Linked DNA regions of Schizosaccharomyces pombe. The gene in region 1 interacts genetically with each later gene. Each region holds a gene or a part of one and is shown on either strand. Other genes may lie near its edges.

Region 1 (6,215 bases):
GGATCCTGCTAAGATAACTACACTGGTCGTACCATCACCAGCTTCAACGTCTTGTGCGGCACTTAAGTCGACCAGCATCTTCGCAGCGGGATGAAGGACGGACAAGTGCTTCAAAATAGTTGCACCATCATTTGTTAGAATAACTTCACCTTTTCCTGTTTGAATCATTTTGTCCATTCCCTTCGGTCCCAAACTAGTTCGAATCGCATCGGCGACTGAGCGAGCCGCCATAATATTTGAAAGCCGAACCTCTTGAGGCTTTTCTCGGTCTTGAAATGCCACGGGAACCGTTGCTGCTTTCGACATTGTGTTTGGTGAAGGAGAGCAACTCTACTTCGTTTGCTTTACCTTGGGACTTCTTCGTGCACTGTAAACTACTGTACTCGAAGTTTTGTTATTGTATACAATTTAATGTGTCGTAACGTGTTAATGCTATCTTTGTTTTCGAAATGGATCAAGCACTGGTAGCAGCTTCAATACCGCGGAGTAATTAAGAATACGGTAAAGCGTTTGCTGAAATATTTTAAAAAAACCTTTATTAGAATGTTAAACTAATACTAAACGTTGCACTATTCGTGTTAAGTGTTTAGAGTTCGATTGTGCTCGGATGCAAAATGAACTTGAACACTCCCCACTCTTTTACAAAAGTGATATAACGCTCTAAAAATGAATTCCATAAACGTAAAGGTATCCTCTAATGAATTAGTTTCACGAAATATCCATGTGTATTTTTAACCATCTCTAACGAATAGACATTACGCTGGTCAGCCCTCGTCCTTGGCTTAGGTGCTGGAATGTACGAGCATAGGAGTCATATTCAATGTCAAAAGCAGAAGGAGATTGATGAGAACTATCACCGACAAGAATCCTTGATTGAATCTGCCAAAATTGCATATCTCAATACTAAAAACACTCCTCCTAAAGGTTAGTTTCTTTGCATCTCAACGAGTTTAACGAACTTTGGCGGGTGCAATAGTACTCATTTTTTTTTCGCTTTACTAATACTCAATTTAGAAGACTCTATGTTGCCTAATTTGAAGAAAGATTCAGAAGATTTCGATATGGATGAATTTGTCAAAGAACTTGAAAAAAATGTTTAAATTCATCCTCTTGAACCACGAATGGGTAACCCTTATCACACTACAAATCGATATACTAAACTAGTTTGTTTATTTTTGTGTGCACTTTTGGTGCGATTAGTATTTGCTGATTGTCCGCGTCAACTGATTAATCAATTTAACGTTTTGCTTAAGTTATTACTAAATTCGAATTGTAACATGGTAACTTATCTTACTTTACTCACTTTATTATAATGAAGATGATCCACATGATTTGTTTTTTTGAGAATTAATTCTCTATAAGTATTCCATTAAATAGACTTGTAAGCTTTTTTCATACCATTTTAGTTCACATGGATATCATTATCTATTTAAATATGTATAGTAAACATTCATTCCAAAAAAAAAAAAAGACAGGAAAGAAAAGGAGGTAATATATATGTTATATATATTTTTATGGGTTATTTAACATAACAAGAACAAATATCGTTCTAAAACAGAATGCACAATTATCAAAGGTATCAAAGGTATATTGCCTTCCCCAAATGTTTCAATACATCAAAGTTGCATGAAAAAAAAAGCAAAAGTAAAATAAACGAAAGCGGTTCATAATAGAAACCTTAATCTTTCAAATCTTGGCTACTGCTAGCCATGCTATCCTTACGTCGACGACGCTCTGAAATCACACTTAGTCCAGGGAAAAAGGCACCATGGTCATGACCATCATGAAGAGACAATCTACTGCTTATTGTAGCGTCGTTCGTACGAGGAGAAGCCGACAAAGGGTCGCTAGTACCAGTCATAGCATCATATTTATGGATCAATTCCTCCAAATCATGGTTTGAAGGGTGCTTGGATGGTTGGACATGCTTGTTCACTAACGCAATTTCTTGTGTCAAAGTCAAAGCACGATAAGCCAGGCGAATTATAGGTACATTAGTACGATCAATATCCTGAAAATCAACACCCAACCAACGTTCTTTAAGCTGACGTTCGAAACCGGATTGTAAAACACTGTTTCTAGCCAATTCGCACATATCGACAGCAGAGAGCTTATAAATTTGTGCGGCTACAGCATATTCCTCAATCAGAGGCTCTCGGGTAAATGCAAATTGTAAAGGATCATCAGTGGAAAGACTAACATTAAGACCTCGTTTGAAGTACGTCAAAAATGGATTCTTATCATATGCAAGAAACAGTGCATTGTTTGATAATGGAGACATTGCGATAGGGATCTGATCAAGGTACCAAAGATACTGAAGAAAAGGAACTTTTCGTAATAAAATACCATGGTTAATACCGTGACTTAATAAGAAAGCACTGGCCAAATGATCCGTATCTCCAGCTTCACCACAATGAGGACGAAGGACAAAGGTGTTAAAACCACGTATTTTTCTCCAGCTATTCAAGCTAGTCATGTTGGCATACATGTAATATAACCAATAACTATATGGAGGATTTAAATTAATATCCCAATGTTTCGGATAAGGGAATTTGCGAAAGGTACGGCGTTCAGGTTTACTTTCGTCGTCAACAGAGTCAAACCCGATAACACGTTGCAAAAACACGTGGAGTTTAGGATGTGTACGAGGATCCTTTGTAACTTCGAACAGTGGTTCAAAGACATTTCTGACGACCTCTTCAAAAGTCTCAACAATACCGGACTTCTTATACACATCATACAAACGAGGTACTTGAATAAGCCAACGAACGTTGGGAGAAAAAAGTTCGTTATCAATAATCCAGGCTGCAAGCTTATCCCATTCTTCACGATTCCGTCCATAGATAGAAATACGATATTCAGCCATTTGGTACTTTTGAGTTCTAAGGTCGGTGAACACCTCTTTGGTAAGTTCAGCAAGATATCGACCGTTAATATCATTATCGGTTTTCAGGAAAATAGTACGCAAACGAGATTCACCAATTGGATTATATTTCAAGTTAAATTTGTCAAATCGGTGAAAGGTGTCAGTATGAGCATGCATATCCAACGTGTCTATACTAAGGTCATACGAAGTCAACTTCAACGAATCAAATACTTCTTGTAAAGTCAGGAATTTGCCATCACGCCAGATAACTTTTTCATTAGGGCATTTACGAAGTTTAGCTTTGATAAATCGCAAGAGATGTTTTTGATTCGCAAGAGCAGAATGATGGACGTGAGTATCTACCTTACGTACATTGTAAAAATCACGATGGGGTACTTTTTTGGTATCTGCCAGCTCTTGATACTCGTTTAGCAGCATATACATATTCCAGCGTCCTTCTAGATACTGCAATCTACGGAAGGAAAATGATTTACTAGGACCATCCGATGAAGCCGAAAGAAGGAATTCTAAATCTATATAATAATCGCGGATAGTAGGAATATGAAAAGACGGTGTCCCCGCAATGTATGCGCTGTCATTCTCATAAACTTGAAATATACCTTGATGATCCATGTGATATTCCATTTCATTTTCAATTCCAGGAATTTTGCAATCAGCAAAATTAAACAAGCCCGTATCATCTTCACCTTCTTTGCAATCAGGGTATATAATCCATGAATCATCGTCAATGGGATTGTCAAGCTCACCCTGTAAGCTCACCCTAATATATTTGTGTCGCATGTCCATACATTTATGGATTGACAAATAAATTTCTGCCAATTCATCAGAGAAAAGAGGGTCAGTCGTTTCCATGTTTCCTGGATCGGTTTCAGGGCCACCAACACTAGAAACTACAGCATTGTCTCCCTGCTGCACATGGGGCATATGAATGCTACTTATTTTGCTTTGAAGCGTATCATTCAAAAGCTTTCCACTTCCAGGACCAGCTTTACTATGGTTTACATCATCACTATTCCTTACTGTGCTAGCCGAGACTGATGGTCGTCTTGGGCTTTTAGAGGGCAGTCCATCCCGACCGTTTTGTGTTCCATTCATAGCCAGAAATTTAGCATCTTGCTAGGTTATGGTTAGTTAAACACGTAATATATCGAATTGGGGGGTTTTCACTTAAATACTTACATGTCTTAAAGAGCGCTCATAAGCATAATCAAAATAAGGAGTGTCTTGAGACGAAGGCGCTGCTGCAACTTCTTCGTCTCGATTAGCACCAGGATTCGTTACATATCGTTTTAAAGGAACAGTTTCAGCTGCAACAGCTGGGACTTGATCATCTTCTTGTTCCATGTTCATTTCAGCTCTAAAAATTAGAATAAAAAAGAATCCCAAAAATTGGCCTCTTCAAGAAGAATGCGACGAAAACAACACCTTTTTGAGAGGAGCGCGTGCACTTGCGGGTGAAGAGCCGTTTATATACGGAAGTAAACCACATAGTGAGAGAGGACGTACAGACATTATGTTGTTTAACGAAATAGAGCGATGATTTATTGAGGCAAACAAAATTAAGGGCAATTGAAATGTTTAGAATTCTGGCCAAACTGAATTTGTTTAAATCGAATGATTTTTAATATTTTCATTCAATAAATTAAAGAGAAAATTGACACTCATTTTACGAGTAACTTTTGTTTTTACGGTTTCAGTAGCGATCAATATACATCCTATCTTTTGTATCACTTGCACATTTAAGTAGACAATACAATTTGAAATCGAAATTGTAGCAATAGTACGAACGGTAAAATAACCTATAAACCATTTTACTTAAGTTCGCTCTGAGGAAAAGAGCTTAACAGTTACTAGATTTCGCTTTACACCTCGAGCGTAAAAAAAATAGAAACAAAAATAATTGAAAAAACTCAAGCAAAAGATATGGATATCAATGACATCTTTTCATAGCATCATTATCATTATACCAAACCATGATAGACATGGGATGAGTTCAATTTGACAAGGAAACAGAGAGAACTGAGGCTCCATACAAGTATTTAGCTGCGCTTAATAAGACTGCAGGAAAAGAAGTGAAATTTTCCAAACAAGGAGAAAATCCCATCAATAACACACGTAGGAAGGAACCGTGATACTGTGACCATGAAAAAGGTGCGACAACCAACATGGCGAGTTGGAGAGGGCCAGCAACCAAGCAAGGAGTCAAAAATTTTGTTTAGAACCTTACGTTCCGTACACAACGAAGGAGGATAATTGCTTTTACCTGGAGAGCTAGAATGATCGTAATTCAAAAAGCTGAGATTTCCAAGTTTGATACAAATAACCTGTAAGCCCGTTTCACGCTTGAGAGTGCGCAAGAAAGTTTCAATGGAAGAAGAAAGAATAGATGGAACAGCATAATTGGGAGGCTCATAAGCGGATAATATACCATGAGACAAGCCAATGATTCTGGCCTTTTGACTTTTCAAAAGAGGAATCATTCGAGAAACGTTAGAGAAAGATTCACTGAGTTGTTGAAAAGCACTGATCCAAGCATCTTTTCCAATGTTCTCAATTGGAGTGTACAAAGAATCTCCTGTGGGAACGAGAATAAGACCACGTAGGCGCAAAGCATACTCCTTAGGGCCAGATTGATTGGAAAAAGACAAAAGGAAGCGTTCAACAGCCTCATTATGAGTAACAATCAAAGATTGAATGTAAGGGCGTTGTTGGAGAGAAACAGTAGCTGCTTCAGATGCATCGCGAACAAGAACAACGACGATAAAACCACGACGATCCAAATCGTGAGCAATTACTGAGGCGAGAGGGTTCCACGCAGATAAGACAACAACTTGGGTTTTTTGGTGGTTGGGTGCACGTGGAGCACGACGCTTGCGTACATAATCATAGCGTTTGTAATAGGATAATCCAGCAAGGAACAAAGCGGCCGATCCTAAGCCAACTGATACTCTATTTTGATAAAGAAATTCTCCCAATCTTCCCTTGGCACTGTTTGTAGTATGAACTGTAACAGGTTGAGGGTTACTAGTTTTTTCATGAGCATAGTCAATGATTCGCTTGCCGTAATCCTTAACATTAGAGACTAAATCGGCAGCCCAGCGTTCAGGATTCATTTTTTAATGTTATTCTACCTTTTTGATATGATAATTCGTTTTCGTAGCAATTGGATTAGATTTCCAGGCAAAAAAACACTTCAATTTTCTCCCTGATATAATGTTTGAAGAAGGAAACAATGCAGGATGAAATTGAAAAATATTTAGCAATTTCAACAATAAATACTATCACTTGAGGAATTCACAAGTAATACTTCAAAAAGCTAAAGAATTCT
Region 2 (4,267 bases), on another chromosome or scaffold:
CAACCAACATTATTATATTTCCATACCTGTCTTCCTCTTGTAAAAAGTCATGGCTTGTCGAGTATTTTTTCGTAAGGAGATTAGGAAGAGGAGCTAAAATGAATGGAATGACTATTCATTAGTAATTCGTAAGCAATGTAAATGAAATAGTTCTCAACGGTTGACAAAATCATACCAATTAGCAGTGGATACCAATTCTTGAATAAAGCACAAGACAGGATCACCAGCATAAATCCTACTGCCAGGACCTTAATAATATAAGTTAGACTCGTTTAAAATGGAATTGATGTCTAGCTCGAGTAGGAGTCATTGAGCGATGCATACCGAAGAAAGACCGATAATTCTAATTGGTGACAAACGTTAACCTTTGCTTTTTCATATTAACAAAAATTACTTACTTCCTGAGGTCGGACATATTTAATTACTATCGTTCACGAATATATACTGCAAGCTAAAGTTTACTGCTTTTGAGAAGAGAGACTTCGATGATTACCAGCTACTTCACCTAAAAAGGGTACGCTCCATTACGTTATACAGATGTGTTCTGTATGCATAGAACACAGAGCGGTGCACAAGATTTGTAAACTTGGCAAATAAGTTTAAAAAGACATATAACGAAAATGACTTGTTACTATTTTTTACACCAATGATCGAGCTTTCGGCTCATTAGTAAAGTATCGCATACGAACAAACTCTGAAAAACGTACTTTGTAGCTACGTAAGTAAAGGCTAGTAATTGACATTAACAATACAATTAAAAAAAAGCAAGAGGATAACCGACAAAAAGCATTCATTTCATTAATTTAACTTTGAGATACTAGTAAAATAAATTTTGTATTGACAAATATCTTAATTAGAGTATACAGGGAATGAAGAAATTATTCCTAGTTGCCCCATCATTAACGATCTTCTTTTTCCAGTCTATTTCTTTCATAGGAAAACACTCGTAAGAATATAAATAGTAGGCTATTTTTTTCGATATAGACTTTTGACGACAGATAAATCCAAACTGTATCATAATTGAGTGTAATGTTTTTTCATCCATGTACCGAGAATTTGTTATGCAAGGCGAAGGCAAAACCAAAAATAACCAAGGAGGCTGTTCTTTATTAGGAGGCATTAACAATCCTGTACAATGTAATAACATTTTAGCTCGGAGTTCTGGAGGTGCAAAATTCAGCACAAGTGAACAACTTATCCCAGTAAAAAGTCCTTCTTCAGGAGTTCTTTCAAGAAAGTCCTGTTGTTTAATCAAGGGATGAACAGAATGCAAATCAATCCTTGAAACTCGGAAAAGTCCACAAGTTGAACATTTGTTGTCAACAGAAACACTGCCAATTTCCAACAAATCTTTCGGCTCCTTAAGACGTGCGCAATACGAAAAACAGGGAGTTGTCCGAATCCATTTTATCAATATTTTACTTGAATCCCCTCCTTTTCCTTCCGCTTGACCGGATCGACTAGCTCGTTGGTAAGCATCAATACCTATATTTTCGAGTTCACTTTCCACATTTTTTATTTTTTCAATCGGAGCACTTGACGCAATAAGTCGAGATTTCTCTTTTAACAGGTTATGATAATGACGAATAAGCTTATTCCCCTTCAGTCCCTTTGCATTATCAATGTTGTTTTTTCCAATGCGATTCTTCACTGGAATGGGACGCATTCAAATAGTGATAAAATATTTGTTAATCTCCCAGATGAAAATATAATTGTATTTACAGTAAATGGTTCATAAATGTAGTTTCCTAATTACTTGAAAAGTTTTTACGATGAAAGAAGTAGTGTCGCGTTACTTATAAAAATTCAGCACAAGAAGAGCTTGGACAATGTATGATAAATTCTTAATATGTAATTAAAGAGCGGTAATTTATGCAACCCTTTAACCATTACACAGAATATTAAACGGGTTTCCTTTTTTTATACGGTTTGTACTTTACAAGCACAAATCAACTTTTTTTATATTTGAAACAAAAATTTAAAGGCTTTGGGCTTCGAGGGGGATCGAACCCCTGACCACTTCGACCCAAACGAAGTATGCTACCACTACACCACGAAGCCTCAGTTGATATTGTGCTTTGAAAACTGTATATATAGTTATTAGATTTACTTGATTATTAACTAAACTTTTTCAATTGTTTTTAAAAAATAATCAAAATAAAGAAAACAACCGCCAAATATGGTAGAACTATAACATAAAAAAATTCGGATAAATAAACAGCCAATATCAACTTCTCTCTTAAATTGTTTTAAATGATTCCACTCATCAGTTACGTTACGATATAATTGATATAAGTTATTTTTAAAAGAAAGTAATAAATGTGTATAAATATGTATATACGACAGCTATTGAAAAGTATTTTGGTAAATTCTAAACTAACGATTTATATCTAGTGGAATTGGATAAGGGACTTTATTTATTATTTCTTAAATAAAATACATTTTAAAAAATAAAAAAAAATAAAAAAAGAAAAGAAAAGAATTTGGTGTACTACGGATTACCTTAAGTTTTTAAGTTAAACGGGTGAAGTGTAAGTATTTATGATATGAAAACCATAGAAACATTTTTGTATTTTTACTACTTACAGACGAATTCTAATTGTTTCACCAGACTATATACTATTAAAACAAATAAGTGCTTCAAAAATAATTATTGTAGATTAAATTTTCTTGATAACTCAAACTTGAGTAAATTAATTTTTTAGAGTATATGTTAAAAAAATAAATACTTTTAGTTTAATTAAACGTACAAAAAGTGTTAACAAACATTATGTACCTGTAAACAAAATGTAATAATTAAATATAAATAATATTTGTAACTGCGGCTGCTATCGCATTGGATGGGGGACTGATTGTTGTACATTTCAGCTAAACTTATTTTTACAAGTTACTTTATTTACTGACACAATAAATTGCGTGTTTTTTTTGGATTACTATAGAAAAAACACATACGTTAGCACTGGAATATTATTATTTAGCTATAAAAGTCGCAAGAGACAAGTATGACAATTTAAAGACAAAGTATAAAATGCATATTACCTAAATTCTTCAGCATTTGAGCTATACTGCATGGCATCAAGATTAAACAATTTAAAAGTTAGCCGTCATTGTAGAAAATATAACTACAGAAATTCTATTATCCCTGAAAATCCAGAGCATCACCAAATTTTATTATGTATCTTCTATTTACTTATAGGTAAAAACAAAACATTTACAGCGTTACAACTTTCCAAATAGTGAGGCGCAGTGAAGCCGTTTCCAAGTATTACAGAGTTTACGCAAGCATTCAGTATATTGGCACAAATGAGACGTAACGGAATGTTAGTGATACAACATCCCGTAACAAAACTTTGTTGGTAAAATCCAACCATTGCATAACGACTTTAGCCTTTTAAAAAGCTTTTTGTGTTTGTAGTCCTTTACTGGTAGTCGTTACGAAAGTATCTAGTCACTGTGGTACTTAACATTGAATTTTCATATAGCTACAGCACCTCGCTTTCTTTCACATTTCGAGTATTAGTCCTACGTCTTTCCTATACTTATGTTATTAAGTCGTTTTTAAGGGGAAGCTAGGTTTTGTATTTAATTTAAAAATTTTATATAGAAGTGGAATATGAGTTCGTTGGAAATCATTGTCGACAAAATTTTAAAATTCCTGGAAAAGCAGCCAAAACCTGAAGGTCGTCCTTTTATTCTTGGAATTTCCGGCCCTCAAGGATCTGGTAAAAGCACACTGGCAAGTGCTTTAGATACCGAATTAACAAGGAAGAACGAATCAGTTGTGAAGTTCTCACTTGACGACTTTTACCTCACGCACGCAGAACAAGTTGAATTGGCCAAAAATAATCCCAATAATCCTCTTGTTCAACATCGTGGTTTAGCTGGAACCCATGATGTCACATTTTTAAATAATGTTTTAAATGCATTTGTTAAGGGAAGCGATGAGGAGGTATCTATCCCTTTTTACGATAAATCCAAGTTTGGTGGCTACGGAGATAGGGGAGATGAATCCCAATGGAAAAAGGCAAATCCTAAAACAACTACCTATGTAATTTTTGAAGGATGGATGGTTGGGTTTGAGCCGCTCGATTCTTGCATGCTGTCTGTCCGAGCACGATCAACACGTTGGCAAAATATTGAAGGAAGTTTACTGTGGGTAAACAGAAAGCTTGCAGATTATCAGCCTATCTTTCAAAAAATTGACTCTTTGGTGGAACTAGAGGCACAAGAGATAAACTATGTTTACAGATGGAGACTGCAGCAAGAG

The links. Genes that interact genetically often act in the same process or in processes that back each other up.
Region 2: mutations in ada1 (region 1) and bmt2 together harm fitness less than expected from each alone (positive genetic interaction), as found in Schizosaccharomyces pombe (one large-scale study listed by BioGRID).

What each region holds. Positions count from the first base shown.
Region 1 is NC_003423.3:378,412-384,626, reverse strand, and holds ada1 (adenosine deaminase Ada1), read right to left. Parts: upstream 4,328-6,215; 5' UTR 4,238-4,327; coding exon 4,067-4,237; exon of another isoform or gene 4,004-4,066; coding exon 1,679-4,003; 3' UTR 1,327-1,678; downstream 1-1,326. Other genes in the region: chaperonin-containing T-complex delta subunit Cct4, read right to left, coding at 1-306; tim11 (F0-ATPase subunit E), read left to right, coding at 667-687, 753-924, 1,015-1,100; SPOM_SPBC106.03 (steroid dehydrogenase), read right to left, coding at 4,927-6,000. UniProt on the Schizosaccharomyces pombe protein: AMP deaminase plays a critical role in energy metabolism.
Region 2 is NC_003424.3:362,949-367,215, reverse strand, and holds bmt2 (rRNA (adenine) methyltransferase Bmt2), read right to left. Parts: upstream 1,772-4,267; 5' UTR 1,667-1,771; coding exon 854-1,666; 3' UTR 774-853; downstream 1-773. Other genes in the region: protein Vps55, read right to left, coding at 27-111, 176-248, 325-343, 399-415; mug58 (glycerate kinase), read left to right, coding at 3,614-4,267.